4 linked regions of the Saccharomyces cerevisiae S288C genome follow. The main gene of each other region encodes a partner of the protein of the gene in region 2 in a complex. Each region holds a gene or a part of one and is shown on either strand. Other genes may lie near its edges. A codon is read from its position in the direction of its gene.

Region 1 (4,419 bases), on a different chromosome or scaffold from region 2:
TATATATATTAATTAATATATATTTAATAAAGGATATATATTATTATAATTACTTTATTTGAAATAATTAAATTATAATAAAAAAATATAAAATTATAGTATAAATTGAGTAAATTATATACTTTTTAGTGAATATATATTTTATCAATATTAATATTAATATTAAAATAGGTATGAACCTCGAGTAAATTATTATTATTAATTAATAATAATTTATGATTTATGATTAATAAATAGAGGTAGGAGGGAGGAGTTCCGAACGAAATCCATAACCCCATATGAAGTAATAATTTAATTCCAAATTCAAATTAATTGAAACTTTTTATTTATATTAAAATAAATAAATATATTCTTCGACTATTTATATTAATATTATTATTATTATTATTATTAAAATGAATATTTATAGTTATAGTTATAATTATAATTATAGTTATAGTTATAGTTATAGTTATATAATAGGTGTTAACCTCGCGAGAAGGAGGAGTTCCGGAACCCAGCATGGGGGCCAATTAATTATATAATAAATAATTAATATTATTTATTATAATTATTATTTATAAAAAAAAAAAAATAAGTTTTAAATATATAACTATAGAGAAAAATTATATAATAAATTTTCCTTTATTTAATAAAAAGATTATAATCTTTATATATATTAACCATATATATATTTTTTATATATTATTATTAAATTTATAATTAAATATTATATTTATAAAATTTAAATTAAAATTTAAAATAGTCCGGCCCGCCCCCGCGGGGGGGGGCGGACCCCGAAGGAGTGAGGGACCCCCTCCCTAACCTAATGGGAGGGGGACCGAACCCCGAAGGAGTTTGGTTAAAGAAGATAAAGAATAAAAATTAAGAATATTATTTTATTTATTTTTTTTAATATTATATATTAAAATATAATAGAAAAAAGAGTATTATATATTAATATAAAATATATTAATATAAATAACTAACCGCCCCCGCGGGGGCGGTTTATATAATTTAATAATTAATATATTAATAATAATTATAATAGTCCGGCCCGCCCCCTGCGGGGCGGACCCCGAAGGAGTAATATATATATATATTTTTATTTAATTAACTATCAATAATAATTATTTATAATAATAAAATATAAATAGGATCCAAAAGTAGGATTAATTTATAATTTTATTTGATATTTATTTTTAATTAAATTATTATTATAATAATTATATAAAAAAATTAATTAATTAATATTTTTAATATAAATAAATTATAATTTTATTTTTATATAATTATATGATATTATATTATATTTTATTTATATATAATTATATATATATAAAAAGTAAATATTATTTTATATATTTATATATATATATATATTATTTATTTATTTATTTTATTTATTATATTTATTTTATTTCTCCTTTCGGGGTTCCGGCTCCCGTGGCCGGGCCCCGGAACTATTAATATATATATTAAATAAAGTTTAATTTAACTTTAATATTATATTTACCATTTTTATTAATATTAGAATTATTATATAAATTATGATTAGAAGGGATATAATTTAATTTATAATTATTATTAATATTACTTCATAAATATTTTTTATTATTAAAAGTACCATTTAATAAATTAAGTGTACTAGTTCTACCATTATTATTACTTAATCTACCTTTAAATTTAATAGATCAACCAACTAAATATTTATATATTAAAATATCTATAGGAATATTATCAATAGTTATATTATTATAAATATTATTAATATTACCAATATAATTATTATTATTATTATTATAATTATTATTATTATTAATATTATTATTATTATTTAATAAATTAATTATATTATTATATTTATTATTATTAATATTATTAATATTATTAATATAATTTATAGAAATATTATGATCATTTAATTTAGGCATAATATTATTTAATATACGTTGATAATTAGTTAAGATACCATTATTATATTTATCTATATCATTTAAACTAATATATTTACTAAAAATATCACTATTTAAATAAATATATGATAATTTAATAGGTTCAATAGTTACTTTTTTTTTATAATAATAACTTAAAATATTACATAAATTATTATTTATATTATTATTTATAATATTTATTAATTTATTTATTATATTTATATAATAATTATTATTATTATTATTATTATTATTATTAATATCATTATTATAATAATAAAATTTAATATTTAATTTATTTAAACTATGTTGATTAATAAGTTTACTTATAATAATTTTATTAATATTTATATTATTTAATTTTAAAGTTATTATTTTATATAATAATTTATTAATTAATTTATCATTTATAGTATTTATAATTTCTATATTTTTATTATAATTATAAATTTGTAGATTTCAATTATTTATATTATTTAAATGTTGTAATTTATTATTAATATTCCCCGCGGGACCAATCCGGTGAACAACCGGATTGGCGCCCGCGGGGTTTATATTATTATTATTTAATATTCTTTTTATATTATTTATTTTTTTATTATTTATATCTAATAATATATTCTTTAATAATAATTTCTTATTTATTAATGAATCTAATAGATTATTAATAATAATATTATTATTATTATTAAGTTTATTTATTATTGATAAAATTATATTTAATAATTTTAATTTCATTATTTTTTATTTTTACTTTTTATCTATTATATATACATATTAATATTAATATTAATATAAATAGAAATATATATATATATATAATATGCATCCTTATTATAATATTATTTATTATTATAAATAATAATATATTAGATATTTTTTGCAGTTATTAATAACATTATATTCTTTATAATAATAATATAAATCCCAAATAAAAAAAAATAATTATTATTAATAATTTATATATAAATAATTTATAAAATAAAATATTATAATTTTATATATAAAAATAAAAATATTATTAAAATAAAATATATCATAATATTATTAAAATATATATATAAATATATAAATATATATATATATATATAAATATAAAGAATTATTAATTATTTATAATTTTTAATATATTATTATTAATTAATAAAATAAAATCCCTTCTTAAGAATAAAAAGGGTCGGACCGGACTATTATATAAATAATATTATTAAAATAATAATTATTATTATTATTATTTTTATATATTTTATATTTATTAAAATTAATTAATTAATTAATTATTATTATTTATTTATTTATTTTATTTTTATAGGAATAATATTAAAATTATTATTATATATATGTATTATTACGGATGATGTAGGATTTGAACCTACGTAGCCAATAAAGACTAATGATAGCTCAAATATCACACTTTAAACCACTCAGTCAACCATCCTTAAGAGGAATATAAATATAAATATAAATATTAATATAAATATAAATATTAAATAAACTCCTTTCGGGGTTCCGGCTCCCGTGGCCGGGCCCCGGAACTATAAATATATTATATATATATATTATAAAAATCTTTAATATAATATTATATAATTATTAATATAAGAACTTTTAAACTTTTATTAATTTATTTTCTCCTTCGGGGTTCGGTCCCCCTCCCTAACGGGAGGGGGTCCCTCACTCCTTTCTTAAAATAAATTATTATTAATAATTATTATATAATAAGAATTAATATAATTAATATAATTAATTTTATAAATTATAATATTAAAATAATTATTATTATTATTATATAATTAATCATATATTTTTAATTTATTATATTTATTAATATAATATAAATTATTATTTAATATTTAATATTTAAATAATATAAACCCCGCGGGACCAATCCGGTGAACAACCGGATTGGCGCCCGCGGGGAATATTAATAAATTAAATATTTAAATAATTATAATTAAATATTATTAATGTATATATAAATTTATATATTATATAGATAGATAGATAGATTTATAATATATTTTATTATATTGTTATAATATATTATAATTTATTTATAAACCTAATTATTATATTAATTATATGAAAATTATAAATTATATATATTTTATTAAATATTAATAGTTCCGGGGCCCGGCCACGGGAGCCGGAACCCCGAAAGGAGATGTTCACTAATATTATATTAATATTAATATTAATATTATTAAATGAATAATACAATAAAAATTATATTGTGTTCAATTAAATATATTTAATATATTTATATATAAAGAATTTATTATTTATTAATAAATATTATCATAATATATATATTTCTTATTTATTAATAAATATTTTTATTATTAATAAATAATATATCTTATTATGGTAATTTATATTTATTTATATAAATGTTTATTATAACAATATTTATAAATTATTATTATTAATAATATAAAAAAAGTAATTATATATTATCCATTATTTATTTATTTATATATTAATATATTAAAAAAAAGGTATA
Region 2 (3,572 bases):
ATAATAATCAAAGAGCCGGCTATTTCTTATAACACGACGGCATGCCCTCCCTAACTCGACGAATAAAAATAATTTTCACAATAAAAAAAAGACTACAAAAATCAGAAACTTTTTCATTACGCCATTTGCTACGATACGATACACAACAAGCACATTCTAAGAGCATTCCATTTACTATGGTCAAAATGACCAAATAAAAAATTAAAAAAAAAAAGAAGGAATGAGAACTAGTAACTACATATTCAACAATTGCAGTTTTCTTTTCCTTTTTGTCCTTGTCCTTTCTTTCCTATTTATATATATATATATATATATATATAATACTACTATGTTATATTACATTATATTATTATCACAATAATTATTACGTTCATCGTGCCGAAACGTCACCTCCCACGGTTTGGATCTATTGAAAGAGGGTGGAATCCCTGATAATAAAAAAACTTTAATCAACACTCGGGAGGGGAAATATAAAAGACTGGCGCTACTTAAAGAGCTGATTCGCCAAGGCAGAAAAGCATAACCATATTAAATCTTCTCCTTCAAAGCTAGCACGCCTTCCAAAATGACCCACAGCTTGAAAGCTCTATTCGCCTTGCTATTTCTTTACACAGCTGCTGTCAATGCGGGTGTGATTGGCATATTCAACGCCCTTCCCCCACCAAACACCAAACCAATTAACGGCGAATCTCCACTTTACCAATGTGACATTCTAGACAAGCAACTTGTGGAAATCAAAGAGGTCAATTTGGACCCTAACCCTCCTGTTCGTGGCGAAAATTTGACTATTTCTGCTAACGGTGAGGTCTTTGAAACTATAGAAGAGGGGGCATATATCGACGTTGAAGTCCGTCTAGGATACATCAGACTGTTATCCCAGACTTTTGATTTGTGTGAAACATTAGAAGATAACGATATCGAAGGCTTATCCTGTCCAATTGAACCGGGTGAATACAACATTAAGAAAATAGTTGAGATCCCAGGCGAGGTTCCACCTGGCAAATATGTTGTTGTAGCAAGAGCTTACACTGAAAAGGATGATCTGATCACTTGCTTAACCGGAGAAGTCATCTTCCCACCAAGGTGATCTGATTCATACAACTCATTGATCCGTGTTTATTTCCCTTCTCGTTCCATGTATTCTTTTCTTTTACCCCATGTTCTCTTCACCCGTTCGAGGCAGGGTTTTTCCTCTTTTTGTTATAACCACCATCTAGTCGAATGTGGTTACTCTTAATATTTTTTTGTCGGCCAATGCTTCAGCGCCTTTGTCAACACCTACTTCTTTTCCATTCCTTTCCTCTAATTAAAAATCATCTATTTAGTGTGTACGTATTAAAAACATGTCATTACATTGATATCTCATTGCAAAATTTCTCCCTTACGCACATCTTTGGTTATTATATATGATGACAGGTTCGTTCTCCGGGTAATGCGGACTTTACATATTAATTCTTTTCCCAGTATTTTAGGCAGAATATAAAAGCTTTGAGGCTTTAAGTGAGACAAAAGTCTTACCATAGCAACACGAGGGCTCGCCGAAACTTCCATCTAAAATAAAGAGTGCCCATTAATGTCCGGAAAACCACCAGTTTATAGATTACCCCCTCTTCCCAGACTAAAAGTGAAGAAACCTATCATTAGGCAAGAAGCGAACAAATGTCTTGTTTTAATGTCAAACTTATTACAATGCTGGTCTTCATATGGTCATATGAGCCCTAAATGTGCTGGCTTAGTAACGGAATTGAAAAGTTGCACTAGTGAAAGTGCCCTCGGCAAAAGAAACAACGTTCAAAAGAGCAATATTAACTATCACGCCGCTAGGCTGTATGATAGGATCAACGGTAAACCCCATGATTAATTTTATATCCAAAAGCAGCAAGAATGAAAACTTGATAATATTAAAGTCATGGCCTTGTATATACAAATTAAATAGTCTCAACGGAAAATATATAAACTTTTAATCTAATAGTAACATCAGCATTTTATTTTCTTTCCTCCGTTAAACCGTACTTAATTCTTGATCCTGCCTGCTCTCTCTAAAGTGTCATCAACCAAATACCAGCCAGGATAGTAATTGTCATGGTATTTGCTGAATCTTTCCTTATCCACCACGGAAATAGGTGACGTGTTTATAGCGGAACTACGTTCGCCTTCTGCGTCCTTGCCAAATGCATGAATGATTTCCCATTCAAAATGCAAGGCTGGATTATTGGAGTCCTTTCTCAAGTGTGGGTTAGGCAATGAGTTGTTAATTCCGCCGATTGATGTGAAACCTTTACCATATAGTCCACAAATTGGCTCATTAGAATACAGTAAGAAACTCCATATATTGGTTAAGTCCCAGTGTAAGAGAGGTTGCAACCTCATAAAATCAGGCCAGTTAGAATCTGTTCTTTGAATAGGCTTTAATGCTTCACCAAATGGGTCTGTGTGTCTAATACCTATCACTATAGCTTCGGTCTCAGGGTATATCTTTATAAAATCTCTAAATGCGTCTGCCATATTGACCGATGCACCAGATTGCCTTTGTGATTCGTATAAGGAAAGGCAATATCGCTCTGAGGTTTCCAGTACAAAATTCTCTAATGTAGGGAAAGTTTCTTCTTGATCAATGAAAACAGTTGGAAGTCTTTGCATGGGGAAGCTTTGAAACTCGAAATCGAATTGGGAATTTTGAGCCTTAATGAAGAAATATTCCCATAAGCAACTCAGATATAACAGTAGTAATACCTGGCAATCTTTTCCTCCGTTGTACGAGAATGATATTTCCCCATTCAGTGGACTCCAACGTACAAAAATTTCACTTAGTAAGTATTTTCTTGTCAACCGTATCGCTTCTTGTGTACTTGCTATTATCTGAGATTTCTGGTCTATGTGTAAGTAAGAGTTTGTTATCTCATAACACATCTCAGCAGCCTTGCTCAACTGCATATTGTGCTCCCCTATTTGTTTATTACTTTTTGCAAATGTTGCCCTCTATACCGAGAAAGTAATATCAGTTTTTTCCACTCTCAGTCAACAAAATCTTTCGAAGATTTTTCGAGGTTCTTTCTATAGACGGATCCTTAGGTTCTTGCTAACCAACGTGTTGTATATGAAACCCATCTCCAAATTTTGAGCTCTTCCCATCCTTTTGTTTCCTCGGACTCAATGAATTTGAAATCTGCCGAACAAGCTAACTAAAAAATAGGAAAATTGGAACAGAAGTTAAATGCGAGCAGGAACGTTTATTAGCGCTTTTAAGTCTAACACATATATATAACACTATTTACAAGGTTTGAATAATTTTCTACCTGTCTCTAGTTAAATTTTTTTTGAGGCTTTTGAGATAATTTTCAACAATTAGTAAGTCATTATTCGTGTCTTTATTCCATAAAACACCTACATTCACTATTTTATTTGCGCTGGACGAAACTTCCTCATCTGCACTGAGCTGTTCTCCTGCTTCAAGAAAGACATCCTCATTTAAACTTCTCATTTCTTTGACAATCTTATCCAATATATCCACGGTTTCAATATTTCCGATGACACCATTAACGCTCATCTCGGTAACCACACGTCTCAAGTAG
Region 3 (2,585 bases), on a different chromosome or scaffold from region 2:
TCAAAGAGTGATCCATTGGCTGCAGATTCAAACGATATCGAAAGTGTCCCTTTGTCCAACTTGGAACTTGACTTTGATCTTAATATGACTGATGAACCCAGTGTAAGCCCTTCGTTATTTGATGGATCTACTTCTGTTTCTCGTTCGTCCGCCACGTCTATAACGTCACTAGGTGTAAAGAGGGCTTAATGAGTATTTTATCTGCAATTACGGATACGGTTGGTCTTATGTAGATACATATAAATATATATCTTTTTCTTTCTTTTTCTTAGTCAGGATTGTCGTTTAGCATAATATACATGTAGTTTATTTAATCACATACCACTGATTATCTTTAGAATTTTATAAATTTTTGAAATAAATGGGTGGCTTTTAATGGTGTCTATGTTAAGTGAGGCTTTTAGAATGCTCTTCCTGCTTTGTTTATTATATGTGTATGAAAGATATGTATGTATTTACATGTGTTTGTAGCGTCCCCAGTCAAAACCTGTGCGCTATACCTAAATGGATTGATAATCTTCATTCACTAATTCTAAAATAGACTTCTTCCCCAAAGAACGGTGTAACGATGAGGCTCTATCCAGCTGCTTATCTAAATCAACTTTAACGATGGATGATCTTATGACACGGGGATCTTTCTTTAAAGTTCTTAGAATTTCAGACTGTACCGCAGCTGATGAATCAAACAGCATTAAAAAGTGATATGCTCGAAAATGTTTTTCCTGGTCTTTCTTCATTATTTTAGGAAGATACCTTATGCCCATGGGTACAATGTCCCTCACCACACCTCTGTTTTGAATAATCAGTTTCCCGATTGTGGAAGACAATTCTTTTGCTTCCAACTTTGGCGCATTGGAGTTGGTTATGCGAACAAGTCCGATCAGCTCATAAAGCATCTTAGTGAAAAGGGTGGTTTTGCGTTATTCTTTCCTCTGTTGAAGCTTTTCTATTTTGTTTAAGCTGAACTAGTGGGAGTTTCCATTAAAAGGCTAAAGTCTTGTTGAAACTTTTCCGGGTTAGATGATAACTGCGAAAAGATAGATAAAATCAGCATTAAAGGGACTTCGTCTCCTCCTAATCAGAAATCATCCTTTCGAATTATGCGTATTCAGTTGAAGCGTATTTGTGACCAGTGTACTTCAAGGCTGATTGTTTCACCCTTGGACACAGAACGTTAAACAATGAGTTTGTTTGAGTGGGTATTTGGAAAGAATGTCACTCCGCAAGAGAGGTTAAAAAAAGTATGTTGTTCTGTATTTGGATCAGTTATTTTAGTGAACATACTAACGTTAATTATTTGAGTTTTTAGAATCAAAGGGCTTTAGAAAGGACTCAGAGGGAGCTTGAAAGAGAAAAGAGAAAATTGGAACTACAAGATAAAAAACTTGTATCAGAAATTAAAAAATCGGCAAAGAATGGGCAAGTTGCAGCTGCGAAAGTTCAAGCAAAAGATTTAGTAAGAACCCGGAATTACATCCAAAAATTTGACAACATGAAAGCTCAACTTCAGGCGATATCATTGAGAATACAGGCCGTTCGAAGTAGTGACCAAATGACACGTTCTATGAGCGAGGCCACTGGTCTTTTGGCTGGAATGAACAGAACAATGAATCTACCTCAGTTGCAAAGGATATCGATGGAGTTTGAAAAGCAGAGTGATTTGATGGGTCAACGACAGGAATTCATGGACGAAGCTATTGATAACGTCATGGGTGATGAGGTGGATGAAGACGAAGAAGCTGACGAAATTGTAAATAAAGTTCTTGATGAGATTGGAGTGGATTTGAATTCACAGTTGCAAAGCACGCCTCAAAATCTGGTTTCTAATGCGCCGATCGCAGAAACAGCGATGGGGATTCCTGAACCTATTGGCGCCGGATCAGAATTTCACGGTAATCCTGACGATGACTTGCAAGCTCGGTTGAACACTTTGAAGAAGCAGACTTGAGCGCTCTGAGTATATTTAATGAATAATAGGTCTATACTATAATACATCAACTACTGATATCAAAGTAGGCACTTAGAATCAAAAGGCTTCCGAAAATTTGTTCAGTTTTTCACTTTACTCAATCTCGTCACTAAAGTTTTCTTTTTTTTTCGAATGAATCCTCGAATAAATATGTTCTATATTATATATATACATCTTTTATATATCATTAAATGTACAGTAATCGGTCAAATTACAAATGCTTACGGATGATTTTTTCACTGATTAAGTACTCATAAATAATGGTAGCACATTCTTCAACCGTCTTCTGGTCGGTTCTCAAATGTAGCTCTGGAGCTTTTGGCGCTTCATATGGGGCAGAAATACCTGTAAACTCCTTGATTACACCCTCCCTAGCTTTCTTGTATAAACCCTTAGGGTCCCTTTGCTCAGCGACTTCTAATGGAACATCAACAAATATTTCAATGAACTTCAAACCAGCCTCCTTATGTAGTTCACGAGCTCTATCTCTGTCAACTCTGTATGGAGAGATAAATGAGGTGATTGAAATAGCACATGAATCAGCAAATAGCTTAGAAACTTCGCTAATTCTACGAATGTTTTCATTTCTGTCCTTTTCTGAGAAACCCAAATCCTT
Region 4 (6,148 bases), on a different chromosome or scaffold from region 2:
AGATCAGTAGCGAACGAGTTGCTTGCGTTGGGCAATGTGGCAAAAGACCATGACGACAATTCAGATTACGAATCAAATGATACTGGTGTGAATGATGAGCTAAAGCAAGCACAGGATGAAACCACTCCCACAACCGTAACATCAAGTGATGATAACAAGCCTACGTTTTCAGAGAAAATATTAAGTAAATTCTCTAGGCCTAAGAATGAAAACGCAAGCACAGATGCTCTGAGAGTTGAAGCTCCAAAACAACAAACGTTTCCTCACAACTTAACGAATCTTTCACGAGAAAACCTATCAACATTAGGCTCTAAACCTTATCCAGGACACACAAGATCACAGTCTGATGCGCATAATGGACTGATCAATTCCTTTGAAGAGGAAGATACAAGTTCAAATACCGATCCATTTCACGACTCCACTGAAGGAGACCTTTTAGATACCTCAAGTTCGGACGGAGGATTTAGGTCGCAAAACTATGTTCGAGATGACAGCATAAATAGTTTGGGAAACAATAAACAACCACTGAGGAAACCCCCTGGATTCTTCGATGAAGGATTTATGTGAGTCTTTACGATATACAAAAGTTCTGCTCCTATCATAAAAATTTTTAATTTTACAGGTTTTTCTCATTCTCCTTCTAACCTTCTAAATTCTGTTTTTGTCAGAAGTTTCCCAAGTTTTCTTTTTCATTAATAACGTTAAAACACTTTGTACCAGTTTGCTTAATATGAATTTTTTTAAAATAGATAGCTTTTGTTATCTTTGTTTCTATGTTGTAATATCCCAGTTTGTCATATTTTTAATACTCCTCGTGTAACAACAAATTAAAAAAAAATAAATACTTAAATTAATCAAGTTAAATAAACTAATCGAATCAAACAAACAATTTATTATAAAATTATGTTTTTTCATGAATAGGAATGTGTAAGTTGTTCAGTTCTTAAGAGGTATCTTATTTTTTAACATCTTTGAGATCTTCCTCCTCAAATATTTCCTTCTTGTAATATTTCCACTATTAGAGTTTCTATTATGTGCGGCTATCGCTCTTATTAGTGCATCATGAGGCCTTTCTATGTTTTGCGCAATCCGATTTATTGTACGGTCTAGTTTTTCATGAAAATTCGGGACATTTTCATTCCCAGAGCTATCATATTGCTCCATAGGATTTATTTCGTTTATCCAAGACATTTCTTTGTTTTTAAACTTTCTTAAGTTTTTATAGCTCTTCCAAAACTCCGAAGTTAAGGATTTATATTCCAATTCGTTTGATATGTTCTTATCTGAATGGATGAGCATCTCATATTTGGACATAGGAATACTTAACGAATGTAGATAAGGTACCACCTTGGTGATTCTTCCTTTAATTGACCAAGATATTTTGTAATCTCTAATATCATCAGAAATAATAGGCGTTAATGGAATAGTTTCAAAATTGTTCTGAGTGGGGGGATGCGTCTTTGAAGAATTGCAAACAAATACGAATCCAACAAATTTATTAGGAAAGTAAAGGGTTACATTACGCTGTGTATATTTCTGCACCCTTGCAAACTTGAAACATACTGAGCTGTTTTGGGAGATAGTATCATCCTCCTGGGCTGGAATGCATAGTGGTTCTGCCCAATCTAAATCCTTTTGAAAGGGTAGAATATGATTCCAAATTGGCTTTCCTCCTTTACAAAAGGTCACTTGAAGAAAATTATTGATTTGCAAGGGCGCTACCTGGTATTCATATTGTTTTTCAATTACAAAGCCTGTGTACAAAGTACTTTGTTTTTTGTATTGTTCGTACTCCTGCTTCAAGTTCTGTAACTTGTCACCTTTAAGAACATTTAAGAAGAACTCTGTCTGGAAATTTTGGTCTTCGAACTTACACACATCATGTCCAGGAAATGAACTTTTTCCTTGAACGAAAGTGCTCTTAAATAAGGTGTACGTTATAAAAAAGAAGAAAAATTCTAAAAAGTTGTACATTCATCCGAGGAGCACTTTGGATATTATAATCTATTTTTAGTTTTGTTGCTTTGTATTGAGCTGTATAAAAATCATTAGATCCACATTACTAATTATTGAATATGGACAATAATATCAAATATATTATTATCAAATTGATTATTTTGTGACGCGGCGTCAAATTTTAATCGCGTCTGACGAATGAGCGGGTAATAAACTGTCTTTTTTTCATGAATGAATCGAGCTGGCATTAGGAACATGTCGTGTAAGATTTGGGAGTAAATAACAGAAAGCTGCAATAAATGGTAGCTTGTAATGGTGAATTAAGACACCCAATCGAAACAATTATACGGACACGATGAAGTTGGATATAAAGGTATGTTACCAGAGCGCGTTTTGCCAATGCAATTGCGAACAAGCTCCGACAACTCCTATGATTAGGAAATGATCTCGTTCGCGAAGAATACAAAGCCTGCAAAAAGCAAACATTAAGATTAGTTACTAACAGGAAGATTTTTGAAATAAATGCATTTGCTCTTGGCATTTCCTTTATTTGACACTGTACATTTATGATAGAAAACTTTTAGTAATAGATCCGATCGAGTTAAAGGTATCGATTTCCATCCTACTGAGCCATGGGTTTTGACTACCTTGTACTCTGGTCGTGTTGAGCTTTGGAATTACGAAACACAAGTTGAAGTTAGATCCATCCAAGTTACGGAAACTCCTGTTAGAGCAGGTAAATTCATTGCAAGAAAGAATTGGATAATTGTTGGGAGTGATGATTTCAGGATCAGAGTCTTCAACTACAATACAGGTGAAAAAGTTGTTGATTTCGAAGCTCATCCAGACTATATCCGTTCCATTGCTGTACATCCAACAAAGCCTTATGTTTTATCCGGCAGTGATGATTTGACAGTCAAACTATGGAATTGGGAAAATAACTGGGCCTTAGAACAAACTTTTGAAGGTCACGAACACTTTGTCATGTGCGTCGCATTCAATCCAAAGGATCCTAGTACGTTTGCATCTGGGTGTTTGGACCGAACCGTTAAAGTTTGGTCATTGGGACAATCGACACCAAATTTCACGTTAACCACAGGACAAGAAAGAGGTGTGAATTATGTTGATTATTACCCGCTACCTGACAAGCCTTATATGATTACTGCGTCGGACGACTTAACCATCAAAATTTGGGATTACCAAACGAAGTCATGTGTAGCCACTCTAGAAGGTCACATGTCCAATGTTTCTTTTGCTGTTTTCCATCCAACTTTACCCATTATAATTTCTGGTTCCGAAGATGGCACTTTAAAGATATGGAATTCTTCCACTTACAAGGTAGAAAAGACTTTAAACGTTGGTTTAGAAAGAAGTTGGTGTATCGCTACCCATCCAACAGGACGTAAAAACTACATTGCATCCGGGTTTGATAATGGGTTTACCGTACTTTCCTTGGGAAATGATGAACCAACTTTATCACTTGACCCTGTCGGTAAGCTAGTATGGTCAGGTGGCAAAAATGCCGCAGCTTCAGACATTTTCACTGCCGTCATAAGAGGTAACGAAGAAGTTGAACAAGATGAACCATTATCTTTACAAACTAAGGAGCTGGGTTCCGTTGATGTTTTCCCTCAATCTTTAGCCCATTCTCCAAATGGTAGGTTTGTTACAGTTGTTGGGGATGGTGAATACGTTATTTATACGGCGTTGGCTTGGAGAAACAAAGCCTTCGGTAAATGTCAAGACTTTGTTTGGGGCCCCGACTCCAATAGTTATGCTTTAATTGATGAAACTGGGCAAATTAAATACTACAAAAACTTTAAAGAAGTCACATCATGGTCTGTCCCAATGCATTCTGCTATTGATAGATTATTTTCAGGTGCCTTGTTGGGTGTGAAGTCTGATGGCTTCGTCTATTTCTTCGATTGGGACAACGGTACGCTAGTTAGAAGAATTGATGTTAATGCTAAGGATGTCATTTGGTCCGATAACGGTGAGCTGGTGATGATTGTCAACACCAATAGTAATGGTGATGAAGCAAGTGGTTACACATTATTATTCAACAAGGATGCTTACCTTGAAGCAGCAAATAATGGCAATATCGACGATTCAGAAGGTGTTGATGAGGCTTTTGACGTATTGTATGAACTAAGTGAATCCATTACATCAGGCAAATGGGTTGGTGATGTCTTTATCTTTACCACAGCAACTAACAGGCTGAACTACTTCGTAGGTGGAAAGACTTATAATTTAGCCCATTACACAAAGGAAATGTATCTATTGGGCTATCTAGCACGTGATAATAAAGTATATTTAGCTGACAGAGAGGTCCATGTTTATGGTTACGAAATATCTCTAGAGGTGCTGGAGTTCCAAACATTGACTTTAAGAGGGGAAATTGAAGAAGCCATTGAAAATGTACTCCCAAATGTTGAGGGTAAGGACTCTTTAACAAAAATTGCTAGATTTCTGGAAGGTCAAGAGTATTATGAAGAAGCACTGAATATTTCCCCTGATCAAGATCAAAAATTTGAGCTAGCCTTAAAAGTCGGCCAACTTACGCTTGCTCGCGATTTGTTGACAGATGAAAGCGCCGAAATGAAATGGAGAGCCTTGGGTGATGCTTCCTTACAAAGGTTCAATTTTAAACTTGCTGTTGAAGCTTTCACAAATGCACATGATCTAGAATCTTTATTTCTATTGCACTCATCTTTTAATAACAAGGAGGGGTTGGTCACTTTAGCTAAAGATGCTGAAAGGGCCGGTAAATTCAATTTGGCTTTTAATGCATATTGGATCGCTGGCGATATACAAGGCGCTAAAGATCTTTTAATCAAGTCTCAAAGGTTTTCCGAAGCCGCTTTCCTTGGATCAACATACGGTTTAGGAGATGATGCAGTCAACGATATTGTTACAAAATGGAAGGAAAATTTGATACTCAACGGTAAGAATACTGTATCAGAAAGAGTTTGTGGGGCCGAAGGTTTACCAGGCTCTTCGAGTTCAGGAGATGCCCAACCACTCATTGACTTAGATTCCACTCCAGCCCCAGAACAAGCTGACGAAAACAAAGAAGCTGAAGTTGAGGACAGCGAGTTTAAAGAATCCAACTCAGAGGCAGTTGAAGCCGAAAAAAAAGAAGAGGAAGCTCCCCAGCAACAACAATCAGAACAACAGCCGGAGCAAGGAGAGGCAGTGCCGGAGCCTGTGGAAGAAGAGAGTTAACCACCTCATAGAAAGACAAATAAAGAACTAATCAACGAATGAGAAAACATCTTTAATGGATGGTAAACATATATATATACAGATGTACACTTTTTATTTTTATTGCGATAGGTGTGAAAATGAACGTGACTTGAAACTTTGCGCGCAAACAAATCATATTATGAATTACTAAACACGTCCAGTTTATCTACATTTCTTTTCTTCTTTAATCCGATATAATAGGTCTCCTTTGATTCGTCTCTAGAAGCGTCAGGCTTGAACTTATGAACGTTAGTGAAAACTGCCTGCATTCTTTTTTTAAATAGGTTTTCTTCTTCGCCGGTGTATAGTTTACAAACAAACGAACCTAATGGCCGTAATAAATCTATAGCCGTAACTAAGGCTGCGTCACATAAATCAATAGATTGGTAATGGTCTCTTATACTGACACCAGATGTATTAGCCATCCTAAAATAAGCTTGATTAGTAATGTTGTTCCAAAAACCGGTTGTTTGGGGCCAGGGTTCATACATATCACTTATAATCACATCAACTGGGAATTTTTCTCGTTCTATTAGGGTACTATTCGTATTCGGAGTTTCATAAATGTCATCAGAGGTGAAAATTTCACGGTACAATTCAGTATCTTTCACATGGGTTAGCTCCTCCTCGAGCATGTTCTGGAAATAGCCATGGTCCTTATGCAAATCATCGTGTCTGTTCAATTGGAAATGCTTAGAAAAAAAGAGCCGTATAAGATCATGAGTTCTTTTGGCCAATATATTAGCTTGAATAGAGTTCACACCATGCGGAGGTTCACAAGGGAGAATGTCAACGCCCAGTATCATTGAATTAGGTGAACTTCTTTGCCGTGCTACTTGGGACCAAGCCCCAGGGGCATACCCAAGATCTAGAATTCTCTGATCGGTCCTGTTTTTGCTAAAAAGCCGATATTTATCATCAATCTGCATAAGCTTGAATGCGGCTC

What was found.
Region 1: MRP10 (region 2) and VAR1 share a complex: the UniProt entries of both Saccharomyces cerevisiae proteins name them as parts of the mitochondrial small ribosomal subunit.
Region 3: MRP10 (region 2) and MRP17 share a complex: the UniProt entries of both Saccharomyces cerevisiae proteins name them as parts of the mitochondrial small ribosomal subunit.
Region 4: the proteins of MRP10 (region 2) and SEC27 are in contact, whole or in part, in a crystal structure (PDB 8R8B), measured with the Saccharomyces cerevisiae proteins. Residues at the interface, in NP_010238.1 of Saccharomyces cerevisiae: Lys17 (codon at 1,622), Lys19 (codon at 1,628), Lys20 (codon at 1,631), Pro21 (codon at 1,634); in NP_011378.1 of Saccharomyces cerevisiae: Arg15 (codon at 2,554), Lys17 (codon at 2,560), Tyr33 (codon at 2,608), Arg59 (codon at 2,686), Asp98 (codon at 2,803), Tyr99 (codon at 2,806), Arg101 (codon at 2,812), Asp117 (codon at 2,860), Phe142 (codon at 2,935), Met144 (codon at 2,941), Leu161 (codon at 2,992), Asn188 (codon at 3,073), Asp206 (codon at 3,127), Arg272 (codon at 3,325), Trp274 (codon at 3,331).

The regions. Positions count from the first base shown.
Region 1 is NC_001224.1:47,136-51,554, reverse strand, and holds VAR1 (mitochondrial 37S ribosomal protein VAR1), read right to left. Parts: upstream 2,655-4,419; coding exon 1,458-2,654; downstream 1-1,457. UniProt on the Saccharomyces cerevisiae protein: Component of the mitochondrial ribosome (mitoribosome), a dedicated translation machinery responsible for the synthesis of mitochondrial genome-encoded proteins, including at least some of the essential transmembrane subunits of the mitochondrial respiratory chain.
Region 2 is NC_001136.10:370,675-374,246, forward strand, and holds MRP10 (mitochondrial 37S ribosomal protein mS37 MRP10), read left to right. Parts: upstream 1-1,573; coding exon 1,574-1,861; downstream 1,862-3,572. Other genes in the region: type 2A-related serine/threonine-protein phosphatase SIT4, read left to right, coding at 1-32; NPC2 (sterol transporter), read left to right, coding at 566-1,087; FAD1 (FMN adenylyltransferase), read right to left, coding at 2,014-2,934; MTF2 (Mtf2p), read right to left, coding at 3,293-3,572. UniProt on the Saccharomyces cerevisiae protein: Component of the mitochondrial ribosome (mitoribosome), a dedicated translation machinery responsible for the synthesis of mitochondrial genome-encoded proteins, including at least some of the essential transmembrane subunits of the mitochondrial respiratory chain.
Region 3 is NC_001143.9:436,597-439,181, forward strand, and holds MRP17 (mitochondrial 37S ribosomal protein bS6m MRP17), read right to left. Parts: upstream 897-2,585; coding exon 501-896; downstream 1-500. Other genes in the region: AUR1 (inositol phosphorylceramide synthase), read left to right, coding at 1-189; ESCRT-III subunit protein DID4, read left to right, coding at 1,182-1,241, 1,310-1,948; MET14 (adenylyl-sulfate kinase), read right to left, coding at 2,181-2,585. UniProt on the Saccharomyces cerevisiae protein: Component of the mitochondrial ribosome (mitoribosome), a dedicated translation machinery responsible for the synthesis of mitochondrial genome-encoded proteins, including at least some of the essential transmembrane subunits of the mitochondrial respiratory chain.
Region 4 is NC_001139.9:247,558-253,705, forward strand, and holds SEC27 (coatomer subunit beta'), read left to right. Parts: upstream 1-2,311; coding exon 2,312-2,329; intron 2,330-2,529; coding exon 2,530-5,181; downstream 5,182-6,148. Other genes in the region: FLC3 (putative flavin adenine dinucleotide transporter), read left to right, coding at 1-567; YGL138C (uncharacterized protein), read right to left, coding at 937-1,974; MRM2 (21S rRNA (uridine2791-2'-O) methyltransferase), read right to left, coding at 5,340-6,148. UniProt on the Saccharomyces cerevisiae protein: The coatomer is a cytosolic protein complex that binds to dilysine motifs and reversibly associates with Golgi non-clathrin-coated vesicles, which further mediate biosynthetic protein transport from the ER, via the Golgi up to the trans Golgi network.